Drosophila melanogaster: one gene and its partners. The protein of the gene in region 4 interacts with the protein of the main gene of each other region in a pairwise test. Each region holds a gene or a part of one and is shown on either strand. Other genes may lie near its edges. The genes, in order: Cul2, CG14452, Smyd4-4 and Neto.

Region 1 (10,608 bases), on a different chromosome or scaffold from region 4:
CAGAGCAAATGGGCAGGTTGAAAACAAATGAGCGTACAAGCAAGGAAAACATGCGAAAGGATGTAGAGTAGTTCGGTATGAGGTCATGTGTTAAGTGAGAAGTATCATCGAGTGATTAATGTACTAGATGGTCATCGACACAATTTGAAGTCGTTAGTTATCAAGCGAACATATAAATATTCGCATGAATGTAATGGTGACTCCCAACAGAGAAAAGAGTTGAAGGATGGCACTAGTGAACGTGCATCTGTGTCCCAAGAGAGAAAAGAGTTTAAAGATGGCACTAGTGATCGTGCATCTGTGTCCCAAGAAAGGAAACATTTGGCGAACGTTATGAATAGAATGGCGTGTGACCGCACTATAACAGCTAACTCGCAGGGACGAGAAGTGTTATGGCGGGGGTCAAGTGATGATGACTGCACTATAACAGCTAACTCGCAGGGACGAGAAGTGTTATGGCGGGGGTCAAGTGATGATGACTGCACTATAACAGCTAACTCGCAGGGACGAGAAGTGTTATGGCGGGGGTCAAGTGATGATGACTGCACTATAACAGCTAACTCGCAGGGACGAGAAGTGTTATGGCGGGGGTCAAGAGATTGGGTGTGAGAGAAGACACGCCAATGTTATTATGAGAAATTAAAGTCATGGAAAATGTAAATAGTTTGAAGTTTTGATATGTAAATTGGAGATGTCTTTGTAAAAGAAAAATCAGTCATGAGATGAATTGTCAATTAAATAATTACTGATTATTACTTGTTGTCATTAATTGTTCTTAAGTTGACGAAGTTGTGTGACTTGGACTTGATTGGTGGATTAGGCACACGAGGACGTGTGAAAGGTCAGGAAGGCCGTGTCGGAGCGCGACTCTTCGCATTCCAGAAATTCCTTCTGTGATTTCATATTCTGATGAAATTGTAATATTGCGGTAAAATTCTGTCGAGCGCTGCGGCAGAGGCACGAACAGCCTCTGCAGCTGAGTGAGGTCCGATCGAGTGGTCATAAATAGTGTGTTAGAGAGAGATGACAATGTGGCACACGTCAGTGTGTATAGCCATTAGAGAATATGATGAAGAAGGGACATGTAAGAAGATCCCTTCAGTGAAGTTTGACTGCTGACGTCGATCGGAACTTGCTGCGCTGACGTACAAAATCGCGAAGTGAATAAATAATATGGATGAGACTCCTGTTTCGCCGACATATATAAGAAAAATTGTCTTCTCAAAAATTGTGAAAAACAAATTGTAATCCAACTTTTTACATAAATAAATAATAAAAGTAAAAATCTTTTAAGGTACCGTACAACTTGGAACAGGTTCTGTGAGCGAAGTAATTAATATTTGTAGTTATCGTCGGAATCTTGTATATGTCGAAGAGTCATCAGGACACTCTTTTTCCTCTTCACTATTCTCGTTGTTGCATAACGTTTTCTGGCGCGTGAGCGAGACATGTCTGTTCTGCTCAACGATCGATCACTAACTGACCCAATCTCTCTTCACAAAATCCGAATTACGCGTAATTCTTAACTCTACACGCATTGCCAACACATTTTGGAGACCCACTCCAGTCCGCACTAGTGCACACCGCATTTTTCTGTACGCTTCCGTTATTCCTGCAGAAATCTACTTGCACCCGCTCCTACCCGCGACCAGAAACTCTAACGGTTCTCTGCCGCGCATCAAAAGAATAGAAAAGGCAATTACTAGAAATGTCGTTACATTTAAATGATCTGCGACATATACAAGTTGTCCACGTACATGTTGATATACAAATTCAAAACTCCAATCTCAGCAGCAGATAAATAACCAAACTTAAAGTAAACACCAGTCAGAAAATTTCAATTTCACAATGCTGTGAAATAATTTCAGTATAAAGCTTTTATCCTAAACATATTTGAAGTTCCAGAAAATTCTAAAAAATTTCTAGGTTGAGTGGATTAGGATTTAGATTTAGAAAATCAGTCTAAGTCCGGACGAGATTGTGAACATTTTCAAATTAAGGATAAGATAAGATAAATAAATTTTAAATTTTAATTTACATGTATCTACATATGTTGGCTGTTGTCTATCCCAGTTTCGAAAACAATGCATGTAAAAAGCGTGTAGTCACAGAAAAATTATATCTCCACGAAAACTGTGGATTAAATTGTAATCAAACTTTTTACACAAATAATGAAATTACAACATTTTTAAGATACCGTGCAATTTGAAGTTTATTTAATTTTTTGGAATTCACCTCCAAATAACGATTAAGAAATAAATACAAAACGTCTGCCGTGCTGATGGCTCAGGCTTTCCTCAGGCTGGAGTACCCCCCATGCCACAGCTCTAAACACTAAAGTCGATAACCACCGACGTCTCACAACACTGAAAATGTAAGCAATGTTAAAGCGAACACAAAGACAAAAAATTTAAATGTTTTGAAATGCTTAGAACATCACACCTTTTGGTAAATCGGAGTCCGAATTCTTTAAATAATTCTCGGTATATATATTAATTATTTTTTACATCATTTACATCTCAATCCATTTCTCCATCAGTATATGGTATCACACTTGGATCGACGACTGCTACATTGGATAGGTCAAAGTGAAATGTGTGGATGGCCTTTGGAAGCTACAAAGGCTGGAAATAGTGGTAGGCGATGTGCCAATTTTTGGCGCATATGGAAGGTTGCAAGTATTGATCACCGGCGGCTACGGTGGATGTGGCTCCAATTTATTCTTTGGAGTAAATTTCCGGTTTGGTGGATAAAAAAGTTCCAATCGACTGACAACCAACAGACAACTAAAAAAATTTGGCGCTCAACGATCTTAGCCATTGACAAATATGAGACTTTCTGATTTTTTGAGCTATACATTTTGTAAATTTTTGTTTCTTTAAGCTTAATGGTTTTTTCGTTTGTTTATCTTAGCCTTTATATATTTTCTTAGTAATTAAACATGTATTTATTTTGTATCTATCTCTTTGTATTTGTATTTTTTTGTATGTATCTCTGTTTGCCTTTTCGAAAGCCACATCTAGGCACTTAACAGTTTAGACCTTTAAAACTCGGTCTGTACAAAATGGATCATTCTTCTAGATCATACACTTACCTTTAAGGCATAACCCTTAACTCACTTTTGAAATCTTTTGAAAATGTATATTCTTTTGAACAAAAAGGTTGGCACTCGAGAGCAATAGCAATACGTATAAGCAATCGAAAAAAACGAAAATCATAAAAAATCCTAACATTATTACAGTTCACATATGAAATCAATTTAGGTTTGTGCACTTACAGTTTTTTAAGAAAATGGCTTTGGCCAGTTTTTAGGCAGGAAGGTAAAAAATTTGTTCAGTGGATCGGCGTTGACAATAAATTAAGATCAAAACAAAAGCAAACGTTTCGGTAGTGGAGACACGACATTCTTTTTACATCGAATTTTTTGTCGAGTTCAAATATCGATAGATTATATCGATATCGTCTTCGTCTGACAAACCATTTCACGATACCAAAAAAAAAGTGCAAAAATAACTAAATTCTCGGCGTAATTATTTAGTAAATAGCGTAGCTAAGCAGCAGGTGAGTAGGTCGCAAGCGCGCCCCTCCACGATCCATCAAGCGGTAATTGGCCTGCTGTGCAATTGCTCGAGGACAAGGCCATTTGCCTGGTGGCCCCCACGCAAAAAGTAAGCGATTATGCCAAAAAGCAAAGCAGAAGTGGTCTCTGCCAACGCATGAGGGTCGCTCGGTCGCCCATTGTTATATTTGCGAAGGCAGAATCAGTCGGCGTTCTAATTAGCGTGCACCCTGTCCCATCAGAAAACCCTTCCAAATCCATATCCAGACGGACCACGGATTAGGACTAAGACCCATTTGACATGTCGCTCAAGCCCAAAATAGTGGAGTTTGTCGATGTTTGGCCGCGCCTGCGCTGCATCGCCGAGTCGGTGATAACGCTCACCAAAGTGGAGCGCTCGGTGTGGAATACTAGCTTCAGGTACGTCTTGGCAACGGTCGGAGTATTAAACAGCCTGGAGAGAGATATTGTGATAGGTCACTAGAGACTACAAAGTTACCCAACTCAGAAGAAACACAAATAACACTAACTAACTTTTAAATTAATCCAACATAAGTAATGGTTTCAATCACATTATTTTGCATTTGAGTTGGTAAACTATGAATGTACTAGTACCTAGCGGTTCAACTATATATTTTATTCAACAGCAAAATTCACAAATATAGCTGCTAGCGAGGCGAAAATGATTTGGTAAATGTCGTAGAATCTTGATAAATGCAATCATAGTTTTAATAATAAATGCCTGTTTTCTAGCTTGAATTTAAATATTTTGACCGCTTAAAGGTTAAACTAAGTTCAAGTAAATATTAAATAGATCGATGACGTATCTTTTTAAAATTAATAATCAAAACAGTGTAACGCAGGCTGCTTTTATTCTGACCGCAACTGTTCGTATATATGTGTGAAGCGTGAGTTGCCAAAATAAAATTTCTAAAATAACGAGCACTAATACATCTGTCTTTCCAATCACATTCCTTTAACATATAGCGACGTTTACACACTGTGCGTGGCGCAGCCGGAACCGATGGCTGATCGTCTTTATGGCGAAACAAAACACTTTCTTGAGCAGCACGTCCAGGAGATGCTGGCCAAAAAGGTGCTGATCGAGGGAGAATGCTCCCATTCCAATGGTGGCCCAGACCTTCTCCAGCGTTACTACATCACCTGGATGGAATATAGCCAGGGTATCAAGTATCTGCACCAATTGTACATGTAAGAATGCATCGAAGTCTGTAATAACTCAATGATCGTTGGAATTAATTTCCTTTAGCTACCTGAATCAACAACACATCAAGAAACAAAAGATTACCGATACGGAATCGTTCTACGGTAATCTGTCAAGCGATGCTGCGGAGCAGATGGAGATTGGCGAGCTAGGTCTAGACATTTGGCGCCTGTATATGATTGAGTACTTGTCCAGCGAACTGGTCCGTCACATACTCGAGGGCATTGCCGCAGACAGAGCTAGCAATGGCACCTTGGATCACCATCGCGTGCAAATTATCAACGGAGTGATACACAGCTTCGTGGAGGTACAGGACTATAAGAAAACAGGCTCGCTTAAGCTCTACCAGGAACTCTTTGAAGGCCCCATGCTGGAGGCCAGTGGCGCCTACTACACAGACGAGGCTAACAAGTTGCTCCATCGGTGCTCAGTGTCGGAGTACATGCAGGAGGTTATCCGGATACTGGAATATGAAAGCCGGAGAGCCCAAAAGTTTTTACACGTCAGTTCCCTGCCAAAACTACGTAAAGAGTGCGAGGAGAAGTTTATTAACGATCGTTTGGGCTTCATCTACTCGGAGTGCCGCGAAATGGTTTCAGAGGAGCGGCGCCAAGACTTACGCAACATGTACGTCGTACTAAAGCCCATACCCGATAATCTCAAGTCTGAGCTCATAACCACCTTCCTCGATCACATCAAAAGTGAAGGTCTGCAGACCGTATCTGCGCTGAAGGGCGAAAACATCCATATTGCGTTCGTAGAGAATATGTTGAAGGTACATCACAAGTACCAAGAGCTGATCGCAGACGTCTTCGAAAACGATTCTCTATTCCTGAGCGCATTAGACAAGGCGTGCGCCAGCGTTATCAATCGCCGGCCAACCGAGCGGCAGCCTTGCCGTAGTGCCGAGTATGTGGCGAAATACTGTGATACGCTACTGAAAAAGTCTAAGACCTGCGAGGCAGAGATCGATCAAAAGCTTACTAACAACATAACCATATTTAAATATATCGAGGATAAGGATGTGTATCAAAAGTTTTATAGCCGACTGTTAGCCAAGCGCCTAATCCACGAGCAAAGTCAGAGCATGGATGCGGAGGAGGGAATGATCAATCGTTTGAAGGTGCGTGGTCTGCTAGTCTAAAATGTACTTCACAGTGAATAACTGCAATAATGTGAATTATTTATTTTTAATGCTGTTTTAATTTGTTATGACCCTTTTACAAAACTACATTAGCTTAAATAGATCTTCTTTTATTAATACTTACAGCAAGCCTGCGGTTATGAATTTACCAATAAACTTCATCGCATGTTTACGGATATATCGGTATCAGTAGATCTGAACAACAAGTTTAATACTCACCTTAAGGATAGCAATGTGGACTTAGGTGAGACGGAAAATGTATATTCATTAAAGATAGTTTATTTTTATGTATGTGTATTTCTATGCAGGCATCAACCTTGCCATTAAGGTACTGCAGGCGGGCGCGTGGCCCTTGGGATCTACTCAAGTTATACCATTTGCAGTACCACAGGAATTTGAAAAATCTATTAAAATGGTACGTTTTTCGTAAATGTATATATTTTATTTTAAAACGAGATAGAAGCTGCCTTTGACAAACCAAAGTTATAAAAAATTTTTTTCAGACTTTCTTTATTTAGTCAAATTTTTAAAGAGAGGCCTTTTAACAATATTCAGAAACATATATAAATATTTAAAGCAGCAATAAATACAAATAATATATAATAATAAATACAGAAAAACCTTTATGTAAAAAACTTTCCTTCAAATCGACGACTACATCGTAAGGTGTTCTCTTGAAATGTGTGACATATAGAAAGTTAAAAGTATCTTTATTTCAATAAAGGTACTTTAGCATACCAAATCAAAACGCAACTTCTTTTGGTCCAAATACATCTTAAACCGTGTGACTTTGTCGAAGGTACTTCAGAAATTTTAAATGTATACGTTAATCGTGTACTGTACCTTTGTTATGATTTTTCAGTTCGAGGATTACTATCATAAATTATTTAGTGGCCGGAAGTTGACTTGGCTACATCACATGTGTCATGGAGAATTAAAGTTGAGCCATTTGAAAAAATCTTATATCGTGACTATGCAAACATACCAGATGGCGATAATACTGCTGTTCGAGACTTGTGATAGTCTGAGTTGTCGGGAGATCCAGAACACCTTACAGCTAAACGACGAAACGTTTCAAAAGCACATGCAGCCTATTATCGAGTCAAAGCTTTTAAATGCCAGCTCAGAGAATCTCGCCGGTGAGACTCGAATAGAATTAAATTTGGATTACACAAATAAGCGTACAAAGTTTAAAATAAGTTCGGCTTTGCAAAAAGAAACGCCACAGGAGGTAAGGCATTTCGATTTCAACCTGGTTACCTGGTACCTGGTTTTCTAACGACGTTATTTATGTAGGTTGAGCACACAATTAACTCGGTAGATGAGGACCGAAAACTCTTTCTACAAGCCGCCATTGTAAGGATTATGAAAGCGCGTAAAGTCTTAAAGCACAATGCCTTAATACAAGAGGTAATATCTAAAACACCTGACTGTGAATTAAAATTACATGATGTATTTTTTCTTTAGGTTCTCTCTTTATCGAAGGTTAGCTTTACTCCCAACATAGCAATGATCAAGAAATGCGTGGAGTCATTAATTGACAAACAATATATTGAGCGAACGGCGAACTCGGGCGATGAATATAGCTACATGGCATAGACTGCGGTAGAGATTTTTTATTCTTAAACAAGAACCTTCCCGGACAACAACCTCCCATACACACAACTGACGCTAACCAAGCGGCTTATTTTGTCTAAAAAGAACTACCTACAATGTTAAAAAAAGAAATCAAAAGGTCAAGCAATTTGAGTTTTGTTATTTTTGTGGTCATAGCATATTGGTATGAAAGGTGTGTGGAAATCAAACGACGTTACTGATACTTTTAATTTAGCTTAGTTAGTTGATCCATTTTGATTTAATGCGTGTGTCCTATTCAATTGTAGATATAATATATTTCTTTATGTATTGTATATTTATCTGGTTTTATTAACACACGCACAAACCAGAATAATGTGCTGGAAAATGTATAATAAATCCCAAAAAATGTCTAAAAATATGTCATTCAAAGTATTTCGTATCCTGTGCGTTAACGCTGTACCACTGTACACTTCAAATTTACATAAATGAATGCTGTGCAAAAAGCAGTCAGCATTGCAGTTTAAGTATGCGGATAGAGATCTGTACTTTTTATTTGGTCGTCTCGGAAAAAACTGGATCTATTGTCCGGAATCCCATTCTTATAATTTTTTGATTTTCTAGTACTTTTTAATAACGAATCCGGGTAGAAATAGGCGTACCACCACCTACAAATTGGCATATCGTATATTGAGCTTTGAGTTGTCAAAGTGCCAAAGAAAGTGTAAAAGCAAACATTTTTCGAAACTTTCAAGATTGCTAAGATTCTTAGATTTTGTTTTAAAAGAGCTTTTAAGGACTTTCCCATCTTTTTGTTTTTGCTCACACATTTTATTGGACCTTGGTTTAAAATATAAAATTCCCTTAAATTCTTTTACTAATCTTAGAATGTCGATTTTATTAATTTACAATACCTTGTACGTATGTTCAGTAACCATTTAAGTTTCGCCTTTGCCAAGAAATCCAATATTTGTATATATTAAATACCCAAGGGCCGTGGATTATATTTGTTTTTAGTCATTTTTATTTCTTTTGTGCTACTTTTCTAAAAAATATATATCATAATGGTAAATTAATTAATTTTACAAATATGTATATGTAACTTAATAGTTAATTATAAAAATTATTAACTTCCTATATCAAATAACACTAGTTCATTGAACGGAATAAATAAAAAATACTTTTAAGTCGCTGATAACATTAATTTGTTTTGATAAATTCGGTAGAACATGATTGTAATTTGTTTCGCGATAAAAAAAGCGGTCCCATAAAAATCTTTTTAACGCTTCTGAATCCATGGCCATACCCTGAAAACAACTGCCTTCAACGACTTAAAAGCATTTTGGATGTAATAGCTGTAACTGTAATACAATTCGTTAATAATAATTTTATCTTGTTTTTGAGTGCCACAGCTCCCGCTGATAAAATGATTCCAATATTTATGTTTTTGGCATCCACTGAGTGTTAATAAAAAATATGTTATCTTTCTTATACATTTTTTATGGTTCATTTTTTATATTTAATGACTAGTAAACGTTTACATATTGCAATTTTCCTTTCCAACCACTCAACTTCATTTTTGCTCAAAATTTGAGAAAAGCTTTCTCTGGTAAAATCGTCTTGAGCATTTTATAAGTTTAAAGTTTTTATGTATTAAATTACTCTCGATCTTGTTTTTATTATCAAACATTCGTTAAAATGTGGAGGGTTTAACTTCATTCTGTTTCAGTTTTTGGAAATTCTATACGTATCAGTTTTAAGAATTTTTTTATAATCTCAACTTGATTTTCCTGTGTTGCACTCTGGGGCGTGGCAGATGTTCGATTAATAATTTACATGAGATAAAAAAAATATCTCATTTTATTGCCCGTTTCTAGCTCCTTTAAATACCTTGCACAACTTTAAATTGATGTAAGAAATAAAGTGTTCTTGCCTAGAACCCTAAACGGTTTAGTCGTAGTCCAAACTATATATATTATATATATATATATATATACATATATAATATATAATATATAATATATAATATATAATATATAATATATATAATAATATATAATATAATATATATATATAATATATATATTTATATATATTCCTCATACATATACGAGTATGTATACAGATTTAAACTAATTCAGTGCTTTTAAATTTCTTGTTGCGCCACAATGCTGCGTGTATTCGGTTAGATTTTGGTTATTCGATCATTGGTCATATAACTACAGTAATTGCTTTAATAGTATTTTAAAAGATGAGTGTTGACCGCACATTCACTTTACACTTTATTTTCTTTGACTTGTAGGAGTGAAATCTTGTTTGTATTTGTTAGGTTCATTTTATTTATTTTGCCATTTTTTAAATTTAATTTTATCTTTCTTAGCGTTTTTTTCATTGTCAGTCTTTACGATTCACGGCTTTTGTGCATTTGAATTTTCCAATTGTCTTCTTACTGTATGACCAATACGAAATTTTATGTATTTTTTCAAGGCGAACGAACACAAGCGCTTTGCTGATCGAATGAGCAGGTGAGTGACTAGGTGAGTGCAAAGATGAACTGGCAGGTTTCGACCCGATAGAAGTTAATGCACGGTTATTATAATTTTCGATGCTACTATACACATATGTATGTGTATATAAAACAAGGGGTATATCCAAGAGGGGATTTTTACTGATCTAAAGAGACCGTTTTGGAGCGTTTCCAAAGAGATTTAAAAAGCCCCTTTTTTTTAGGTTTGTTATTCGTGGTCGCCCCCGAGGCTCCATTGTCTTTGCGATTGGTATCCTTTCGCGTGGTGGATCCTAGAAAAGTGTTTGGTATCAAAATTAAAGTCTTTTGAAAAGTTTTTTCAAATTTATGTTAACGCTACCGATTAACTATCAAGAACCTGCTAAGGAGAGGGAGCTTTTAAATTGCACACAAGCTTTACCTACGAGTATCTGCTAAAAAATTCATTTAAATTTAAACCAAAATTTTTAAATTTAATCTAGCGTTAGGGACGTCAAGTAAGCGTGACAATATTTTGAAGCAAACAATTTCATATAAATTATTTTACGCAATTTGCTTCATTTTCGTAACTTCAATGATATGTGTACTTCTCAGATATG
Region 2 (6,314 bases), on a different chromosome or scaffold from region 4:
GCCGCTTTGAAGGATTTGTACGTAAATGGGGCCAAGCGAAGGATATCGGGCGACAATGCGCAACATTTTAATTTGGCTCCATTCTTACTATGTGCAGATCGAAAAATGGCTTAACAATATAACTTTCTCAGATAGGAGAATAATTGCAAGACTTACATTCAAATAAAGCCATTGCAGCGTACCTATCTGTTTCATACCCTTGCAGAGGGTATACTAATCTAAGTGAGTAGCCTGAAACGCAGTAATGATGATGTATCAACTGCCGAGTTGATAAATAAAAGGTTATACTAGATTCGTTGAAAAGTATGTAACAGGCAGTGTATATATTCTTGATCAGGATCAATGTCCGTCTGTCCGTATGAACGTCGTGATCTCAGGAACTATAGCTAAAAGGTTGAGATTCAGCATACAGATTGTAGGGAAATAGACGCAGAACGAGTTTTTTGACCAATTTGGCCTGAAGCCAAAAGAAGGCCCTAAAGCCGCCCAAAACTGCCACGACCACGTTTTTTAAAAATTGTTGAATATTTTTTCATTGATTTGCCAAGAAATTGTTTGCCACGCCCACACTAACGACACTAACCCGCCAGACTGTGACGCACACACTTATGAACAATTTTTAAATTTTGTCTCATTTTATTCAATGTCTATCGATATCCCACACATTGGGGAGCTCTACTATGTCATTCTCTCTCGTTAAATATATGATTATTGCATGGCATGCATGTAAGATTCCTTCTTCACATTGCTTTTAGAGTAATGATACCTACCGACGAAAGAAGTCTATTGTTACTGTAAAACTACAATATGTATATAAAGATTACTAAGCATAATATTGCAATAGTAACTTTTCAGTAAATGACTTGCACATTTAGCATTTAAAAGGACTAAAACTTACACTTTGTAGGTTTTTACCAGGCCATTAAGCAACGCATATGTAATTAGCACATTAATTAGCACTTATGGCTTTATTTTTATATTGCTAGTAACATTGGTAATCAGCCCTATCTATCCCTGAAGTTGATTGATCAGGCGACGCTGCCTCACCAGCAGCTGCTCCATCCTGCGCCTCCTCTTTTCCTGGCGCTGTCTCCGCTCCTGGCGACGACGGCGCTCACGAGCCAGGCGACGACGGCGAGCACGTCTGCGCCTCCTGGCCTCCGCCGAGGAGGAGGAAGAGGAGGCAGTGGTCGTGGTGGATGCGGAGGAGGCAGTGGTGGTAGTGGTGGTGGCGGATGAAGCCGTGGTAGTGGTGGCAGAGGAGTCGGTGGATGTGGTCGCCGTCGAGGATGTAGATGTGCTGCTACTGCCCTCCTGAGCCAGGAGCAGACACAGGAGCACGCTGAGAAGTAGAGCGAATAGGAAGCGCATTTTGTTGTGTCTAATCTAATCTAATCAGACGGCCTTTTATACTCAATACGGGGTAACAATTAAACAAATATCATGTATCGGAAATCGGAAATGTGTGCACAGCCTATCCAGCTCGTCAATGTCTTGGGCTTGTAAGGTCAACAGAGTAAAAGAGTCGATCGATATATTATTGATAGTGAGCCGGGTTTAACTCGTTGAAAACGAGATAAAAAGGTAATATTATAACGCTTCTTACGCCTAATTATGTATGGCGACCACGTCACGTCTGAAGGAAATATTTGGTATAACCTATTTATGTACATTCACATCTTATCTGAGTAAAAATCGCAGCACTTGACGAGTTAAAGGTGTTTTATTTGTTCTTCATTTGAGCTTTGCGTACCCAATTAACAGTTTTGTGCTGTTGCATTTTGGCTTATATCCATTTAAGTTCTCCGAAATTAGAGATTTATTTTCCAAAAAAACAAATACGTGGTTTACATTATTTTTAAACCAAACACAACAAAGATGTGTATAATTATATTAATTTTATACCTGTTACCGATTTCAAAATTCGTCTCGATTTGAAACAGGCTACTCCTGGAATGAGACTAAACTAGATTTGTTGAAAAGTATGTAACAGGCGTTTCCGACCCTATTAATTATACATATGTATATGCTTGATCACTATTACTCCGTCTGTCCGAACGAATGTCTCGACCTCAGCAACTCTAAAAGCTAGAGAGTTGAGAACGTTGAACTCCCTCAAGCCGCTTAAATATGCCACTCCCACACGTTTTTGTGCTCCAATAAAGTAGAATTATCAGAATGTACAATCAAATGTTTTATTATCTTGGCGAACTTGAACAATGAAAGAATTTAGCTTTCACATATTTACAACAGCTTTTCCTAAATTGTCATAAGCCGAGTCTTTCCGAAGACCTTCATCCGCTCAGCTGGTTGATCTGTCGACGTTGATTCTCCAGTTGCTGGCGCAGCCTCTGAGTCCTGCGCTGCCTTCTGCGCTCCCTTCGTTGCCTCTCACGCGCCAGACGACGGCGACGGGCGCGCCTGCGCCTCCTGGCCTCCGCAGAGGAAGAGGATGAGGAGGAGGCAGTGGTCGTGGTGGATGCGGAAGAGGCAGTGGTGGTAGTGGTGGCGGACGAAGCCGTGGTAGTGGTGGCAGAGGAGTCGGTGGTTGTGGTCGTCGTCGAGGATGTAGATGTGCTGCTACTGCCCTCCTGGCTAAGCAGGAGGCATCCTAGGACGGAAAGAACAATTACGATCGAGAAGCGCATGCTGAATGTGTGTAAGATGGAAAAAAGTGGGCGCTTTTATACTAGATTGTAATTATTTTGTTCTTACACTTGACATTCAGATATGTTTGCTCAGCTTTTCGATTTGTATTCTTTTGTTTTTTCCTTGGCGAAATATTTTCTATGATATTATTTGATTAATTGGTATTCTACAAAAAAAAATAGCCCTTCAGCTAAAATTATAAATAAAGATTACAATTTAAAATGGTGTTTTCAAATTGGTGTTTCCATGACGTACTTTGGAAAAAGGGAAGCCGTAAGTAAAATTAAACGTTCTTAAAAAATACATTTCAAATAATTTATTAACATGCTAAAATAATAACACACGGCGTAATAGGTTGAGATTAGGAACACAGATTCTAGAGACATAGACGGACGCGCCCACTCTATATCCCACAAGCCGCCCAAAAATGCCACGCCTACACTTTTGAAAAATGTTTTTGTATTGTATTTTGTGATTTTTGTGTTAGTTTCGTAAATTACTTTCGATATGTCATAAAACTTTTTGCCACTCGCACTCTAACGTCCACAAACCGCCCAAACCTGTCGCGCCCACACTTTTGAACAATTTTTGCATTTTCATTTTATTATTTGGTTTCCACCTCCCCCTTTGGAACCATGGAAGCTATTAATTTAGCTTACTAAAGTTATCTGTATCTAAAATCTAAAAAACAAAAAGGGACAATAACAGTTGTATAAAGGACAGGGTCTACTGGCCCTCCTTGAAGGAGATCGAAGAATGAGGTCTTTCGGTTGCCTTCTATTAAGCCTCATTGGTGGGCGTGTACTATACAGGGTATTTGCCAGACTATTCCTGTGGTGCCTTAGCCTTTCATAGTAGAGACTCGAGTGCTGGTTTATTTAATGAAATACACATATACACAACCAGTGACCAATTTCGCAGCCCTATTCTGGATAACCTGGATCCTATTGAGTTGGTTTTCACAAGCCAAGCCCCAAGGATCTATAATCCTTTTGTGGATAGTCAACTTATTTGATAGCGACAATTTAGTTTACAATTTCGTGCTTTGCCATCTTAGCACGTTTTCGTGATTTTAAGTCCGTATTATCTTTGGCAAATAATAATAATTTGAAAAACGTAACATGGTCTCTAAGATTATAGTGCATTTGAGTTAATAATTAGACACGACACAATCATCAATTGAGAAAGCAGACATACTTTACTTAGTTTTGCCAGAACAGAAAGCTTGAACAGACTGAAAAAACAAACAACTCCATTTCAGAAATTCCCATTGAGGTAAGAGACCCCCTCTAAGTTGTAAATATAAATAATTTATTTTTTAAAATTTTCTTTATTTTTAAAAAACGGAATATCCCACAGCAACGCAACTGCAATTTAGTTAAAACATCAATCTTTGGCTTGTATTAGCTGTCTGACTCGACAGGTTTCTAGCTGCAGCAGCCTCCTCTTCGACTGTAGCAATCGTCTATCCACTGCGCTGCCTTTGCTGGCGTCTTCTGCGCTGCTGTTGGCGGCGGCGCCTTTGGCGCTGTTGGCGCCTTTGGCGCTGTTGGCGCCTGCGCCGTTGGCGGGCCAAGCGACGACGACGGGCGGCGGCCCTGCGACGACGGGCGGCCGCGCTGGAGGACGACGACGAGGACGAGGACGAAGAAGTGGTGGTAGTCGTGGCAGACGAGGCCACTGTGGTGGTGTCGGAAGACGTTGAGGCTTCAGTTGTGTCGGAGGAAGAGGACGCGGTAGTGGAGGTGTCCGAGGCGCTGGTACTATCCGAGGAGCTTTCAGTGCTCGTTCCCGTAGCTTCGCAGCCCTGCTGGGCAAACAGGAGGCAGCCGAGAAGGGCCAAGAGCAGAACAAATATGAATCGCATTCTAAGCAGTTATATCTTATGATTTGGAGAATAGCCTATTTATATGATGTTGAACCCGGAAACTTGGTTGAGAAACGCGCTCATTACCGTAAATCTATTACATTATTATGTGTGTTAAGACTCAAGAGCAACGTTTAAACTATATGGCGGCACACATAATTTCTCAATCTGAATAAACATTACCAAAATTTACCTTAGTTAAAGCTAACAATCCAGCAGACCTATTAGCTTACACGCTTTTGGTAAACCACCATTATTCAAATTTGCTATAAAAACATGCGTAACGTCTCAAATGCGTCAAAGACATTCAGCATGCGCTTCTCGATCGTAATTGTTCTTTCCGTCCTAGGATGCCTCCTGCTTAGCCAGGAGGGCAGTAGCAGCACATCTACATCCTCGACGACGACCACAACCACCGACTCCTCTGCCACCACTACCACGGCTTCGTCCGCCACCACTACCACCACTGCCTCTTCCGCATCCACCACGACCACTGCCTCCTCCTCATCCTCTTCCTCTGCGGAGGCCAGGAGGCGCAGGCGCGCCCGTCGCCGTCGTCTGGCGCGTGAGAGGCAACGAAGGGAGCGCAGAAGGCAGCGCAGGACTCAGAGGCTGCGCCAGCAACTGGAGAATCAACGTCGACAGATCAACCAGCTGAGCGGATGAAGGTCTTCGGAAAGACTCGGCTTATGACAATTTAGGAAAAGCTGTTGTAAATATGTGAAAGCTAAATTCTTTCATTGTTCAAGTTCGCCAAGATAATAAAACATTTGATTGTACATTCTGATAATTCTACTTTATTGGAGCACAAAAACGTGTGGGAGTGGCATATTTAAGCGGCTTGAGGGAGTTCAACGTTCTCAACTCTCTAGCTTTTAGAGTTGCTGAGGTCGAGACATTCGTTCGGACAGACGGAGTAATAGTGATCAAGCATATACATATGTATAATTAATAGGGTCGGAAACGCCTGTTACATACTTTTCAACAAATCTAGTTTAGTCTCATTCCAGGAGTAGCCTGTTTCAAATCGAGACGAATTTTGAAATCGGTAACTGGTATAAAATTAATATAATTATACACATCTTTGTTGTGTTTGGTTTAAAAATAATGTAAACCACGTATTTGTTTTTTTGGAAAATAAATCTCTAATTTCGGAGAACTTAAATGGATATAAGCCAAAATGCAACAGCACAAAACTGTTAATTGGGTACGCAAAGCTCAAATGAAGAACAAATAAAACACCTTTAACTCGTCAAGTGCTGCGATTTTTACTCAGATAAGATGTGAATGTACATAAATAGGTTATACCAAATATTTCCTTCAGACGTGACGTGGTCGCCATACATAATTAGGCGTAAGAAGCGTTATAATATTACCTTTTTATCTCGTTTTCAACGAGTTAAACCCGGCTCACTATCAATAATATATCGATCGACTCTTTTACTCTGTTGACCTTACAAGCCCAAGACATTGACGAGCTGGATAGGCTGTGCACACATTTCCGATTTCCGATACATGATATTTGTTTAATTGTTACCCCGTATTGAGTATAAAAGGCCGTCTGATTAGATTAGATTAGACACAACAAAATGCGCTTCCTATTCGCTCTACTTCTCAGCGTGCTCCTGTGTCTGCTCCTGGCTCAGGAGGGCAGTAGCAGCACATCTACATCCTCGACGGCGACCACATCCACCGACTCCTCTGCCACCACTACCACGGCTTCATCCGCCACCACCACTACCACCACTGCCTCCTCCGCATCCACCACGACCACTGCCTCCTCTTCCTCCTCCTCGGC
Region 3 (8,453 bases), on a different chromosome or scaffold from region 4:
CCCAGTTGGACATCTGTTTGCACTTTCCGCCTACGTCCTTTGTCCAGTGTCCACTTTTTCATATAGTTTGCGGCGGAAAAGCTGCGTGGCAAAGAGCATGGCTAATAACAGGTTGACAGAAAGAATAGGGAAACTGAATTTTTGGTAAAATCGCTATGATCTAAAGCATTTTAGGTCTAGCTGCTCTCATGGTTTCACACCCACTGTCTGTAAGTAATAAGTACAAATATACATAAAAGACCCTACTTTGCGCCATTTATTCACATTTGTAAGCTGGGTGGGCGACTTGACTGCTATTTAATTTTAATTTTGCCGGCGAATAGTAGACGCAGTACGTTGAACCGAATGAGCTCTAAGAAAAATAAAATTGCTCGTTCGCCTGTCGTGATTGTATTCTTTTTCATTTTTGAAGCATCAGTTTCAGGTATCGTTTTGCACGGCAGCCATTCCCTGGGGAATCCCTGGGATTTAACAAATTTTCAGCCAGTTCAATGCACAGCGTTGAAGTTTAAAGGTCGCCATTACAATTATGGCCAGGTTAGCTTTAAGACACTGTAGTTTGAAAAAAAAAATGGGTTTGGCCACTTTGATAACTCGAGAATGGAACCATCAGTGCGGCATAGCAGTTTGTCTTAGTACTCCAATTTAAATGCACGTTATCCAGAGAACAAACCACAATTTGAAAAAACACCTATACTTCATACATTATTGTTTAAGCTGTATTTTATTAGTGACATTAATTGCAATAATTAGCTGTGCGGTTGCTAATGCTGCTAATTTAAAAACTTTTCATAAATTTAATCAAACGCTCTTGGTTCTGGTTGTGATAAGTGAAACAGCATTTATTGATAAAGTGCGGTTTATTTTAGAACTTATTTAAAAATTGAAAGGTACAAGCTATTTTTAGAATATTTTGGACTTCCTGCCGATGCCAAGCATTAAACACTTATAGGTTGTAAACAAAAAGTTTTGCATATTTAATAAAACCAATTATGTATTTTTTATGTTTTCGTAGCTATAATTAATTTTTTTGTGATGTACTACACAATCGCCGAACATTAAAAACCGTAGACTATCACATACCTCTTACTTATAAAGGCTTTAGACTTCATCTTTGTCGCGGACCTGTTTGGGGCTATCGACAGTTAGTCAAGACCCAATTTAGAGCCGCTAGAAGTTAGAGATATTTGAGTCAGGACTTTACTCCGTTTCGATTTACTCCGTTTTAATCTCAATCTTAATCTCAACTCTCTAGGATCTATTGTTTCTGAGATCCCGACATTTATACGGACGGACAGACAGGCGTACTCGGCTATTGATCCTGATCAAGAATATATATACTTTTTATGGTCGGAAACGCTTCCTTCTGCCTGATACATAATTTTCAACGAATCTAGTATACCTTTTACTCTACGAGTAACGTTTATAAAAATTCTATCCATTTCTCATACCTCGATGTTTTGAAAAAATGCAGTGCTGCCACTACGATCGAAATGCGGTCACACTAGACAGCTGATTTTTTCCAACTGGAAGATTTGCTTTGCACACTGGACAAAGGAAATGTCCCATTTGTCGGCTTATCCAGCATATACGTCAGTCTAAACATGGAGAAAAGCTGCAGTATTGGCAACGGACGGGAGCAATACGGCTGGGGACATGGCGAACAATGCGGCACGCAGTTCCTTGAATGTGTCTACAGGAACGCGTCCATGTACTCTGTTCTGGGCGATCTGATCACATACGTGGTGTTCCTGGGGGCTACGTGCTACGCAATACTTTTCGGCTTCCGACTGTTGCTGTCCTGCGTGCGAATCGTCCTCAAAGTGGTTATCGCCCTCTTCGTCATCCGATTGCTGCTAGCTTTGGGCTCCGTCGACATCACATCTGTTAGCTATTCCGGGTGAAGTGACCAATCTGGCGAATGCCATCGGGACCACGGCCTTTAAACTACATTAACTAAATCAAATATAAATTCCAAATTGAAGAACACTGTAAATTACATTAAACGGTTTGTCATTAATTCCTTTGTTAAAGAGCACTTGCCAACATTAAAGCATAATATTTTATTTAATTAACCCAACAGAACAATTGCTGACTCTTAACATGATCAGCTAACTATCTCAATTGAAATGTTGATTAAACAAAAAATTTAAGCTTTAATTTCGTCATGGTAAGTTGATGGTATTCATTTATCCTCACACCACTCGTTCTCCTTGCGCACCTGTTCCTCCTCCTGTGGCAGAAAGTCATTCTGGATGGCGAAGGTGTCGCGAATAGCCTGCGGCGACTTGCCCTTGATCATATTGGCCACCGTCTTGCAGGTGACGTCGAGCAGACCCTGGATATTCAGGTAGTTTGCCGCGAGGATCAGTTCGAACAGCGTGCCCTGGTCGACTTTGAGAAAGTCAGCGTCCCAGGATGAGATGTCATCAGTGCGCTTCTCCTTGTTCTCAACCTCTTCGGTAACCACAGGATCGTCCTTGTGATAGGTGGCCCAGTGGAGCACTTTCTTCAGGATCAGCGAGTTGACATTCGGCAACGGCAGCACACTGTTGTCGCTCTCATCGCCCAAATCCTCTATTGCAATGCGAATCGTTTCCGAGCACTTGGCGATCTCCTGATCCGTGTCAAAGATCTCCTTGTCCGCAGACTCCAGCCGAATGATGGGCATCTCTGCGTAAAAATTTTTATTTTTGCTTATATCTATATTTTCAATTTTATTCGTACACACCTCCTGCTGATTTGGATCCCAAGATTTGATACGAAATCGGTTTGATTTATTTGCAGACGCAGCCAAACAAAATTTTTAGACACAACACGATGTCACTTAGCTGTGGCCTACTGGCTAAAAATAATATTCCCTTGCCTTCAACTTGAACCGGACTGGTGCGGCGGCCGCCTGAGAACAGAGCGTTTGTTAAATAAAGAACTTGGCTGCCAATAATTCCCCGGATTCTTAGAAAACTAGAACGTCGTACGATTTGAAGAGGAAATTTGTTAGTGAAACGGCCGCCAGTGTGCACATACTCGGAATGGCTTTAAAAGATGGCGCCTATTACAGTTAATGGTGTGGAGACACTGTGACAGCTAGCGGTAAACAAAAGCTCAGTTATATTTTTTTATAATGTATATATATATATTTTTTTTAAACATATATATTTTGGCACAATTCAAGCGTGCTGGGCGTTGTATTATTTAAACAGAAACCTACAAAATTCTGCCTTTATAGTTAGTTTTTATCCTGTTTTTATTTAATGAATTTCAAATTTCAAATATTTTTGTAAACAATTTTAAGCTAGGCCAAGGGTTTGTGTCGCGGCTAGTGCAAGCAGTCAACTTGCGGCATTTTTTAGTACATTTCCCTCTGTGCTGGGTTATATATTCGCAGGCTATACTCCACACTGCTTCCAGCGGAATCGTCAAAAAAATAACATTAAAATCGCCGTGTGCATAATTAGAATATTTCCGAATAGTAATCGCCCGTGAAATCGCTAATTAGCGGTCAGCACTTGCGCCAGTTAAAGAAATCGCGGCACCGGCAGTGGGCCAAAAGAACATTTTTTCCGGCTGAAAAAAACAGGCGGCGGCGTCGACACGCGGACCGAACCAAAGGATCCGAAGCCATCCGATCAGATCTAATCCGATCCGGAGAAAATTCCAGGACACTAAGGACTTCCGAAACTACCCCGCACAAGAGATGGACGTGTACGACGTGAGCGATGATCTGATAAAGAAGCTGCAGGACTGGAAACTAATCGGCATCATATCCGGCAAGTTCAACGAGCTGAAGGAGAACCATCGCAAGGTTGACTTCGTGATGCGCGCTCTTATTGACTTCAAGTACATTGAAAAGATATTCCTGAATGTAACGCTTCGAGAGGACAAGTGCAACAAGCGGAGCGTGGAGTTCCGTATGCTGGGCAACGAGCAGTTTTCGCTCAAGAACAGGAATTACTTCCAGGTAATCATTGCCCCCTCAATCGGCAAACTTAAGCTAATCCCTGCGACTCGTTTCAGGCTCTAGAGCTGTACAACAAAAGCATCTGTTATGCCGAACCGAATTCGGAGCACCTGTCCATCGGCTATGCTAATCGGTCGGCGGTACTATTCGAGTGGAAGCGCTATCGGCAATGCCTGGACAATATCAAGCTGGCAAGGCAGGCCAACTATCCGGCGAGACTGAGCCACAAACTAGACAAGCGAGAAAGGGACTGCCAACAGCTACTCGATCAGCAACCGCCGGATGTGGTGCCCTATGAGTTCAAGCTCAGTTTCGAACCGCATGCCCAGGTGCCCTTCATCGCCGACTGTTTGGAGTTGCGCGAAACCGCCGCCGAGGGTCGCTTTGTGGTGACCAATCGGGATTTGGCCGTTGGGGATCTTGTGTCCGTGGAGGAGCCCTTCTGCTCCACACTGCTGACGCCGATGCGATACATTCGGTGTGCCACCTGCAAGCGGGAGAACTATCTGACCCTCATACCCTGCGACAGCTGCTGTTCCACGATGTTCTGCTCCGAGGAGTGCAAGTCGATTGCCATGCAAACCTATCACCGCTACGAGTGCCCCATCATTGACTTTCTGAACCGCATGTTCAACAAGATCCACTGTATCGCACTGCGCACCACACTGGTCGCGCTGAATATCTTTCCCAGCATCGAGGAGCTAATTGACTTCTGTGAGCAGGAGCAGAACCAGGACAAGTGCGCCTTTGACCTCAACTACAACGAGCTGACGCCGGAGGAGCACTACCGGGCCATCCATGGACTGGTGACAAACCAGCACCTGCGCTCCGTCTCCGATCTCTTCCAGCGCTCCGTGGTCTGTGCTGTGCTCAAGCACTTCATAATCGAATACACACCCGTCAAGGAATATTTGGGCGGCGAAGAAGGCGTGAACTTCTTCACGGACCTCCTGTTCCGACATCTGCAGACATCTCCCTCGAATATGCACGGCATCGACCTGGTCGAGCAGGTTAACGAGACCAAGGACGACCAGACGCACTCGTCTGGGGCGTACGCCTTCCTCTCGCTCATAAATCACTCTTGTGCGCCGAATACTGTAAGGATATACGAGGGCACCAAGGCGTACATGTTCGTCCTGCGGCCTATTAAGGCGGGAAATGTGCTCTACGACAATTACGGGTAAGTAGTAACCAAAGCATTCTGACCACACCACTTTAGTTCAAGCTAATAGGGGTCCAAGTCACTGCAGCTCTCTTCAAATACTAAAACTAATAGATATCCAACTTTTTAGTGCTCACTTCGCCATCTGCAGCAAGGAGCAGCGTTTGAAAAGGCTGTCCCTGCAGTACCGCTTCGACTGCAAATGCGAGGGCTGCGAGCTGAACTATCCTATGTTCGGAATGATGCCGCACAAGGCGACGGTGCCATCGGTTACCGATGACACGGAATTGGCACTGAGCTCCTACAACTATGATTTCGCGGTGAGCAACTATCGAAAGTACTGCGACTTCCTCACGCAATACGGTGACGACTATCCGTGCGAGCAGATTAGCTCCGCGGAGGAGTGCCTAAAGATGGCCCTGCATATCATGGCGGACGCAGTGCCGCTCAAGGCGAAGATGTAATCGGATCCTGCCGCTGAACCAACCCACACAACCAACACGGACGAACTTTTCCTTTGCTAACTTTAACTGGAGACAGCGTATTACAAGCGAGACACAAATCAAGGAGAGTAATTGATTATACATACATGTTGTTGCCATAAGTCTGTAGCGCAGGCAGCAGCGCGATGGGGAGGGAGCATGCCCTTAACTTTTATATTTGTAATTGTACATTTTCGACCTTTGATTATGTTTTACCCCGCACCAAGCCCGCACACCACACCCACACAACGCCCAGCACACCCACACAACGCCCAGCACACCCACACAACGCCCAGCACACCCACCACACATTTCACAACAATTCGAAAGTTCAAAATTCTAAAGTTTATTTATTTTTTGATCACAACAATGTCTTCGATGAAAACAAACAAACAAAGGATTATTATGCAACCTACGTCGTTTTTATAATTATTTTACAAAAACCAACTGAAGCAGAAATAAAATATTTTCAAAACGAAGTGACTTTGGCCTCAAGGCATTTTGCTGTACAGGTCCAGCAGGTTCTGGTTCAGCAAGGATCCTCCCCGGGACATGGACGTCGCCACCTTTTCCGAGGACGATGCCGATGTCGTGGGCTGCAGCTGTACAAACTCGCAGCCAGAGGAGCTGGCCGCTGTGTCATTGAAAAGCACATTGCCGAAGGCCTGCTCGAACTGCTGCTGGAACTGGCGGGCGTTGATGGGCTGCAGATCCTCACTTTGCGCCGGATTTATGTTCAGCTGAGCGGCCAGCTGATCCATGCTGTTGGGCTCCCGTTGTTGGCGCTCCCGCTGGTCGGCACTCTTCGCATAGATATTATCGCCGGCTGACTCAACGTATTCCGCGTAGTAATCTTGATCCACGTCCCTGATGAAACTACCGTCCATGGCCTGAAAGCCCATGCGAATCAAAAGCGATATCTTTGTGTTAAAGCACTGCAGCCAGGCCCGATTCGTCTGGTAGATGGACAGCTGCGCATCCTCACCGCTGGCATTCCAAAAGTCCAGCAGCGTGTTTTTCGTGAAGTCAATCAGCATATGCCGTTTGGCATCCGGATACAACCTGTTGATCGCCTCCAAGTGCCGAAATGTAATCTCCAGCAGATGGTGCTGATGGCGGGAAACGAAAAGCTGCCACTTGTAGACCATAGTCATCAGATTCCACAGCTTGGACATCGACTGCTCGTCGAGTCGCATCAAGGAGCAGGTGGCAATGTCGTTCAGCATAAACTTGCAATGCTCGGCGGTCAAAAGCTGCGCACTATTGTGTTTCGATCCGTTTAGGAGCGAGTCTATAAACTTTGGTTCGAGCAGCACAGAAGTCACATCGTGGATAACTGGTGGAAGATATATATATAGTGTCTTTTAAATTTGAATTTGAATTTGAATTGAAGCATATAGCTATGCAGAAGACTCCAAGGCTCTAACTTTAACCTTTACCAAAGCTTGCAAGGACGACTCTAGCATCTCAAATGTAATATCCATGTTCAAATTTCTTGGCGGGATTTCTTACCCTGGACCGATTTGTCCTGAGCAATCTGCTGCGCCTTCAGCCGCTGATCGATCACGTAGAGCATCTCGCAACCGAGATTGACCAGGATGAAGACATTGGCCCGGGGATTCTACAGCTGGCGTGGACTAAAGTTGGCCATCGTTTGACGGGCTACTCGATGGCACGGGCGGCGATTGCGAACTAAACTGGAAAACCGATGACTTCGTCGAGCACGCAAGGCTCGGAACCCAAAACCGTTATTGGATTTTCGGTTTCCGTGCGGACTGCCGGCCCCCATTTACACGGAAAACAAATACGTAATCGTTTCGTATAACATCGGTTATAAAAAGCTAAAGATCCAAACTTGATTGTTCGGTATAATCAGAAAACATTCTTCAATATGTTTTCTTACTTAATTTTTTGAATAACCAATAAGAAAACGAATGTATATGTGTATATTTTGTAGGCTAAAAGGGTTTTGGTCTCATTAACTCATCATAAATATACAATATAAGTTGACCTTTACCATATATCCACTGGGCGTTTTTTCCAGTGTCCTTTCGCATTTGATGGCTTTATGAGAGCCTCGGCAACGTCTTTCAGTGCAAACAATAACGAAAGTCTGTCCGTGGCGACAGGACAGGCCGTGTATAATTATGGCAGCCATGGTGGGAAGGACGAACCTCCACCAGCGCCGGGCAATAAATTTTATTGATTTGTAAATTTCCATTTCAAGCGCAGGGCAATGGTAATTAGCCTGGAAATTATGGCAGCAGGTTAAAAAGTTAAAGCGCTTACCCTATTATACATATGTGTATGTCCATCACAACAGGATGGAAAGCTCCCACGACCAGTAGACCAGCAGACCTGTCTGCTAATTCGTTGGTCGGGCGGAGTGGTTGGTGGTTGGTGAGGTCTACCACCAAGTTCCAGTCCAAATGGGAGGCAAGCACCTGCAGCGAAGGTCGTCCGGAAAGGATGCCGGAAATTGCGTGATTCCCCTACCACAAAAGCTACACTGGTTTGAATTTACTACCTAGCATTTGAAAAAAAGATCGCCAATTCAAATAGCAAGATATTTACATATATTGCTTAAATTGAGTTGCCGCATTTAATTTGAAGATTTCAATGCATCAATTTTCAAAACAGGAACTATCGAAAATATCGAATTGGATTCGTATTCTAGAAAGGCTTTAAAACCATTTGAAAATAGTTATGGTTAGGTATTTATGATATGATAGTTCCTACAGAAAAAAGGACAAATGAATTCGTTACACAAAAATGACCGCCCCTTTTTTTGAAAACAGCACCTATCGATATACAGATAACAAAGTTCTGGGTAGTTTTCCAAGTGCAG
Region 4 (8,027 bases):
TCTTCGATTCTCAGTTTCTCAGAGTCTCAAAGTCTCCCAGTCTCCGCTTCTCATCCTCGCAGTCCTCCGTTGCCTAGTCAATATTTCATTTGGCACTTGAACCAAATTCTTTTAGTTTGCTGCGAAGGTTGACGTCAAAGTCGCCGTCGACGGCGCTGTCCACCTTTAGTAATGGATTTTCATTTGTGTGGCATCGATATTGCCGTATGTTTAGTAATTCTCGCTAATTTAACCCACATGCATATACATATATACACCTGATAACAACAAAGAGAATAGCATTTTGTTTTAAAACGCAAAAGATTAGACACAATTTCAACTATTTTCCGTTGACAATGCACTCTGGCAATTTCATAGTCGAATTTTTGCGCACACAAAGCAGGCAAATAATAGCCATTTTGCGTACGGAAAAACAAGTGCATTTTAATACCGAACATGATATGAAATCATAGAGCGCATATATTTAGCAAATTTGCCAAAAATTAAATACATAGCTACCCAGCGTAACAGATGTCGAATTAATTGTCGAACGATTTACCTTGGGGAACTTGCTGCAAAAAAAAAACTTTAATTGATCATAACTTTTCGGCTATCAAAATAACAGTTTGCTGCCTTGGGCTTTTATCCTATCAATATTACATTTCACTTCTGTAATATTGCTATATATTACAAAGAAATATAAATAAAACAATATGTTTTATATAGCATCTAATCATTTCTCCAATTGTTCTTCAAACATTTATTTCTGCAGTTTTGAGGGAGCAAAGAACTAGGTAAACCTAAAGTACTTTATTCCATATTTTGCTCTTGACATTCTAAGCTATTCCTCGGATTTTGAATACCATTTCAAAACGACATTGCTGATGATTTTGTGCACCATTGTTTTTCATTTCCTGAAACATTCACTTTTCACTTAAGATCTGAAGGCACAACCGCAATCAGGTCATATAGCCGACAGCTCCCATGACAATGTGCAGATACACACAACATTTACCTATATATAAATGAGATTTTTCACTTTACATCTTTGGCTTTGTTGTGGCCCAAATTTCTGCAGTGGCCGCAATGTAAAAAAAAAATAAATAAATAAATAACATATACACAAAAGATAAGAAATATCCCAACGAAACCGCTGTAAAGTGGTTAAGATATTCTTGAAAGATCTATTATTTGCAGGACAGCAGTTTAAATGCATCATTATAAATAAAAATAAAAAAAATGCGAAAAAAATAATCAAATAAATTACTGCCAACGAGTAGAAGCCAAAAAGTGAAAGCAGTACTTTATCTGGCCGTCTCTTTCCTTGTGGAAATGGCCATGTTGGTTTTCCATTTTCATGGCATTTTGCATTTCGCTACTGCCTGGGTCTGGATTTTCATTCTTTTCTTTTCTTTTATTTTTTTTTTTATTTTTATTATATTTGGTCAGTTTTCTTTTTCTCCCTTTTTCTGCTGTAATGAAAGCGATTACAAGCCGACAGCAAAGCAGACGATAATCAGGGGGAGAGGCGGCGGGTTGGTTTGTGGAAAAGCCATTTCCTTTGCTTTTCCACTTCCTCCGCCCCTTTTGTAAAGTTGTCGGGCAAATTTATGACATTTATTGAAATCGTTTTTCTTTTGGCTTTTCCAGCAGCCCGAAAAAAAATGGCCCATTCCCATTCCCATTCGCATGCCCATTTCCAGGCTTTTCTGCTCTTTTTCCGTTCTGATTAGTTGTATGCCATTGCGTTTTCCAACCACCCAAGTCCAGCTGCAATTAGTTTCACATTCCACGGGAAATTGCTGCGAAAATCGCCGCACAATGCAAAAAGGCTTTAAGATCAGACTTTTTTGCGGCCAAAAATAATACGGGGAAAGAAATGAAAACACTGTGGACAGACACAAATAATAAATAAGAAGAAATCCCAGCAAATGAGAGAGGACCTGTTGCTCGGGACACAAAGGAAATGGGTGGTCAAAGGAGGCGGAAAGCAGTTAAGCTAACCGAAATCGCCAAAGGAAGTTTGGGCTTAACTGTAAAAACTTTTGGCTTAATTTTATTGAAATAAATGGTTACAAAAATTGAACAAAATTTAATCTCAGCACAGCTGCAGAGAGATAAAACTAAATGGAGTCCAATGTGGAAAAACTAGAAGGGAAATTACAACATGGCTAAGAAAATTAAAAGGATCACAAAAACGAAATGGTTGAATTAAAATCAATGGAGAAAATCTGAACAACAATATAATCACACTCAGAAAATACGGAGTACAAATAAATATTGCTATTAAACATTGATTTGTAATTGTTGAATGCTGGATACATTCTTCTTGAACAAAATAAGAATACACAGAAGAAGAAAATAATATGATTTAAGCTTTCTTTTGGAGTAAGAACTCATCCTTTACTTTAGTCCTTAAAAGGCAGGAATAATCCTTTTCCCTATTTGACCAGCTGGTCAACATGCCATTAATTACCATCGAAGTTTCCCTTCAAAAATAAAAAAAACCCTCGTGAATAAAAGTTTACCACAAAAATTTTGTTTGCCTCGCCCAAATTTATGAGGGCAACATGCTGAAAAAATTTAAGAAAACCGAAATGGGAGCAGCAAAAATGAATGGAAAATGAGAAGAAAAACTAAGAAATCGACGAGGGCGCTGAAAGTGCGTGTATAAGATAGCCTTGAGCCACATATGTGGGAATGGGATATAGAAGAGCGACAGACGAGATGAACATAATGCAAAACTTTGTCAGCCACCGATAGAGAGAGATGGCTGCACAGCATGCGAAAGAGATGGGACGATTGGAAGTCTAGTGAATTCATTGAGACGGCAACAAAACAGAGAAAACACTGGGAAATTAAGTTAATGGACAATTAACAACCAACACAATACCCCGTAAACAATTAATTTATTCAATCTACTAATGCAATAAATAAAGATTGCATTCAGTTTTGCAAGCCCAAATGATTATTATTGTTTTGCGGAGTATATTTTTATTTAACCTAATAGCATAGTTCATCAATCCCTAATCCATACACTGCGTATTCGCGAGGGTATTTAAAGAAAAGCCGATGGAAAACCTTCGTCAAAGTTGGCGCTAACGGAATTGTTGTAGTTGTAGCTTGGAAAATCTTCTTCAATAACAGCAGCAACAACACAAAATACCCATTACGCATATGTAATAATTTTTATTTTCATTTTTTTCCGAATTTTCTTCTGTTTTTTCTTTCTCTTCGTGTGATCACAGCTGTGCCGTGGACAAGGAAAAGCGGGAAAACGAAAGGGAAAATTGGTGAGAGAAGTGGGAAAGCCTGATGGCAGCCGTTTAATTTTTGCTCTTGTTTTTGTTGCTGTCTTTTATTAATGAATTTCTCTCATTTTTCACCAATTCTCTATAGCCTCTGCGTTCGTGTCTTTGGTTTTTATACAATTTTCCCCTCTTCGCTTACTCGTTCTGCTCTTGTTTTTTTACTATTTGGGCTATGTCTAAAAATATGTCCGCCAATTCGCTAAGTGGCCCCAAACTTATCTATACGGGATACATAGAAAATACGGTCGAAGTTTCCAAACGAATGCGACAAAATAGTTTAAATTAAACATTCATTCGAAATCTTTCAACATATATTGTAGCTTATATGAGATAAATAATAAAAACAACAAAAAATCGAACACTTTTCAAAATGTTTAGAAATGTTTAATCGCAAGTATATTCGATCTAAAACTGCTGAACAAATTAACAATTAATAATATGTATAAATATATCCCAAGACGCATTAAAATAAAATCAAAGACTTAAAGCGCACTAATAAAAAAGAAAAACTCATTTAAGTGGGCACTTACTAGGAAATTACTAGAGATTATTTTAATATTGCTTTAGAATCCGCATAATGGACGCCTTCTGTGCAAAAGGAATTTTTATGACACATCCACTTTTTGCCTTTTCATTTCCATTTTGTTGGCTAAAACCGAACAACTTTTACAACTACAGGCTAAAAGAGACTAATGTGCCCTCTGGATCATTGAAGCTTGATTTATGCAAATTTCATTCAGCTACCACAGCCATAATGCCTTGATTTGATTAATATATTCGCAAACATATTTATTGCCTATTATGCGGAATGCAGCAGTATACGTATTTATTTTATAATTGTTATCCTTTGCAACTTAATATTGTCACTAGCCCACTAATTAATTGGTAAATATCGGCAAATAGATTTGTTATTTTAAGAAAACACGGAAATATAATTTGTTTACATTGCAAAGCTGCCATCTAATATATATATGTATATGTGCATATGTTTAATTTATATATATATGTATATATTACTATTTGCGTGTTGTCGCCTCCTTTGGCTGCGTTGCGAAATGTTGTTTTTATTTGTTTTTGTTGCCGCTGCGCTCCGCGAAAATATCTCAATTTTTGGCGCGCATTTTTCAAGCCGGCAAGCTTTTCACACACACACACTTTCACACTGGCACTGTCACTGTCACACAAACAACCAAACAAAAAAATTTGTATTTCTTTTGAACAAAAGCAAAACCTTAAGATTTTAAAATCGTATCTCTGGTGCTTGTCTATTAGCAACCAATCGCGATGTTTTTTTTTTTTTGGTAGTGAAACGTTAATATCGAATGTGCTGTCACCGGAGAAAGCGAACCGCGCCGCGTGTCCGTACACGTGGCCAACTCGACGTAGACTGGGCGTATACGTAATGCCGGAATTTGTGGCTCTGCTGCATCGAGTCTGCCGCTCGACTGTTGCCGCTGCCACGGCGGATGCTGCCACTGCTGTTGTCGACCCGCCAGTGCTGCTTACTTAGCCGGCTTTCCCGACAACTCTGGCTAGTTTTTCCAGCCGCTCACTGTCTTATTCTTTTCTATCAACCAAAAAGAATTGTATTCGTATTTATTACTTTATTATGTTACTACCTAAAATTGATTGAGTTGTTTGCCCAATATCTATAGAAGTTTTTTTTTTAATACTAACAATCATTAACATAATAAAACAAACTAATTGGATTCCACTTGTTAAAAAAAAAAATACGTATTAATAAAAATATCTAATTTTAGAAGAATATCACACCATAAAATAAAATACTTGCGAGAATCTAGCAATTTTTGTCCATTTCCCACGCTTAAAAATTAATTTCCCGAAAAGAAATTTAAAAATTATAAGCTGATATGTATTATCTTATTTTTCTAGCCTCTCAAATTGACAGTACTATTTATGACGGATCTTAGCTTTTAATTATTTCTTTTAAACAAAAATTGTTTCCTATTAGATTTACGGATGTGAATATGAAAACTGACAGTGATCTATAATATCTTGCTTTTCTATAGAGATTAAGAAATAAAAACTTAATAAAAATAAATTATGGGAAACGTCTGCTCGATATCCAGATGCATTTCTTAACATCAACATATTTTCGCCGCCCACTTTCAAGCTCATTTTAGTATATACATTTTGATATGGTAAAGAGCCAAAAAATAGTGCGATTTATTTTAAAACTTAAACTCATTTTATCACAACATTTCACCAAAACGTTAAACAATGATGCAAGTATACGGGTTTCATGCGAACCTTAAGAAATTGGAAAATAATTATTTTCAGCTTTTTTTCCCCCCCAAAATATTTGGCATCTCTGAGGATGCTCCACAAACGCTCAATGTCGAGTGAGTGGGAATACGAGGCGATGGCCGAAAGCAGCCGAAGTGCGTTCGTTTGTGGCACAAAATTTCACTCGAAACGGAATTTCCCATTGTTCGAGTGCGAGTGAGATGGGAGTGAGCGGGAATTTTGAGTGAGTTGTAGGTTTTTTACTCATTTCCGCTGGCACTTCCGACGTCGTCCTGGGCCAAGGAAGTTGTAGCCACGCTGACAAGGACAACAAAGTCTGTCTTCATTTTTTGTTCGGCTTCTTCGCAAAATATTTTATTTTATTTGCTTTGGTTATATTTTGCTTTCTTTGTGTTTTTGTTGTTATTCTCTTCTTTTTTTTCGTTTTTTTTTTTTTGGTGAAATGTCAAATGACATGCCTGGATCACAGACTGTGGAAACTGTTGTGAATGTGGTTTTCTTAAAGCCTCAAGCGATTTGATATTTCCTTTGCGATTCGTTTGCATACATTGTACGAAATGTGTGCGAAATAAAAAAAAAAAACGACTTCTGTGGTCTCTTAAAAACTACATTCCCTTCATTACAACATATTTTTAATAACTTGAGATCCCGCAGATTACGTGAAGTTTCTCCAGACACTCTTAATTGCCTTTATATTAGCTTTCGAAGCGTTGCTATGACAGAACGCGTTAAACACCTCAAATAAAAGTAGAAGCCTATCATCTAATACTCTCTCAAATTAACCAATTTTAAAATCTATGTCATTGCTCGAGCTGCTTAAATTAAATTGATTATTAAGCTGATGGAAACCTTAAAGTATAACCAACAATCTGATGTTTATTATTGCAAAAACATATAAAATTTCCAATTGTAGGTTGTAGTTACGCTTACTTGATAACCTGATTAAGTTTTAAACGAAAGGCAAACCAAAAGAGAAGTTGTCATTATTTTCATTACCTCTCCCAAGCTTAGCACGTTTGCAAAATAATATAAAATAAACTGATGTTTCGAATGCAAACTATAACAAGCCGTCAGCTGTGACTTAAAATCGATGTAATCACATTAATACCCAATTAACCTTAACCAAAGAGTATCCTTTGAGTCTGCCAGCTTGAAATTCCAGCGTAAAAAAGTGTTGCCTGCGAAGCAAAGGGACAAAAAGCAGCGCCATGGCTGCGTTTTTGCAGCAGGATCTGGGACTAAGGGCAACGGAGAATGGAGAATGGAGAAAGCTGAAAGGAGAAGGACCTAGGACAACTGAGACCAAAAGCCGCATTGTGCGAGGCCACAGGATATGGGTAGGATGGGCAGGATGCGCTGGATGGAAGGGACGCGGGGTCGAGACGTTCCTTTGCTTCAATTTGCTGTTCTATTTTGCTATTTTGCCGCTTCCACAGGCCACAGGGCAGCAACAACAACAGCGAAAGGCGGTCAAAGGTTGCCAGAGTTACAACCAAATGAGTAAGATGCGAACAAGAACAGGCGAACAAGTGTAGCACCAACACCCACACACACACACACACACACACACACACACACACACACAGCGACACCCACAGAAGGAACAACAACAATACCGGCAGCAGCTGCCTGTTGCCTCAGTAAGGAATAATTTGGCCCAGTATTTGCCACCCACTCACCCGCCCCAACTTCTGTGCGTTATTATTTGCCTTTCGAATCCAATGTGTGTAATGCCTTCGAGTGTGATTAGCAGCAATGTACGAGTCATGACCGTAATAACAAGGATATGCGTAAGGTCCCAGGAACCGCACCCAAAGGACACGTTGCTTGCAAAAGAATTTCACTTGCCCGCCTGGCCCGCAAATTTATTCGCAATCAACGCTATTAAGTGTCAATCGACCACTGCAATTATTAATCAGACGTCTCCAAGGATCAACTGGGACACTGGGAAACGCAAATGTAAACGCAATAGCCCGAGCACAAACAAACTCAAAGGCCTTAATTACATAATCAACGAGTTGGTCCATAGTTATGCAAGCCCAAGCCCAATGATATCCAAGTATATAACTCGTTCCATAGTCCATAATAATTGTGGGTGTCTGCACACATATCCATGGCGATAAACGAGTATATTTGCCAGATTCCAAGATTGTATTTATGGGGTCGATGGTTTCCTCCATGCTCTTTGTTTTAATATTTGCACTTAAATTTGCTACATCCCATTTGATTTTGCCAATTTATGGCACTGTTGCCTTTTACATGAATTATGAACATGATGTACTTAACAAATCGAAAGATCAATTAGTTCATAGTCCATGTGGTACGTTACGTCTTGAATGTGAATTGCCATGAGTAATAAATGTTACCATATACTATAGTTATGTGAAGTTGAGATAAACGCATTATTCTGGCTTGTTCATACAACATTTACATACTATAATTATCTTGTAGAAATTCAATAATTCGCAG

What was found.
Region 1: the proteins of Neto (region 4) and Cul2 interact in a two-hybrid assay, tested with the Drosophila melanogaster proteins (one large-scale study listed by BioGRID).
Region 2: the proteins of Neto (region 4) and CG14452 interact in a two-hybrid assay, tested with the Drosophila melanogaster proteins (one large-scale study listed by BioGRID).
Region 3: the proteins of Neto (region 4) and Smyd4-4 interact in a two-hybrid assay, tested with the Drosophila melanogaster proteins (one large-scale study listed by BioGRID).

The regions. Positions count from the first base shown.
Region 1 is NT_033779.5:21,655,294-21,665,901, forward strand, and holds Cul2 (cullin 2), read left to right. Parts: upstream 1-3,441; 5' UTR 3,442-3,668; intron 3,669-3,801; 5' UTR 3,802-3,860; coding exon 3,861-3,979; intron 3,980-4,546; coding exon 4,547-4,771; intron 4,772-4,829; coding exon 4,830-5,907; intron 5,908-6,054; coding exon 6,055-6,172; intron 6,173-6,236; coding exon 6,237-6,343; intron 6,344-6,790; coding exon 6,791-7,159; intron 7,160-7,224; coding exon 7,225-7,338; intron 7,339-7,395; coding exon 7,396-7,527; 3' UTR 7,528-8,405; downstream 8,406-10,608. Other genes in the region: CG2225 (uncharacterized protein), read right to left, coding at 10,169-10,302.
Region 2 is NT_037436.4:22,692,304-22,698,617, reverse strand, and holds CG14452 (uncharacterized protein), read right to left. Parts: upstream 2,666-6,314; 5' UTR 2,649-2,665; coding exon 2,295-2,648; 3' UTR 2,183-2,294; downstream 1-2,182. Other genes in the region: CG32453 (uncharacterized protein), read right to left, coding at 1,009-1,371; CG14453 (uncharacterized protein), read right to left, coding at 4,115-4,516; CG12546 (uncharacterized protein), read left to right, coding at 4,829-5,182; CG14454 (uncharacterized protein), read left to right, coding at 6,106-6,314.
Region 3 is NT_033778.4:12,137,254-12,145,706, forward strand, and holds Smyd4-4 (SET and MYND domain containing, class 4, member 4), read left to right. Parts: upstream 1-3,377; 5' UTR 3,378-3,697; coding exon 3,698-3,961; intron 3,962-4,017; coding exon 4,018-5,141; intron 5,142-5,253; coding exon 5,254-5,587; 3' UTR 5,588-6,019; downstream 6,020-8,453. Other genes in the region: CG18343 (uncharacterized protein), read left to right, coding at 1,605-1,904; SkpB (SKP1-related B), read right to left, coding at 2,186-2,671.
Region 4 is NC_004354.4:13,442,558-13,450,584, reverse strand, and holds the start of Neto (neuropilin and tolloid-like), read right to left. Parts: upstream 4,683-8,027; 5' UTR 4,308-4,682; intron 1-4,307.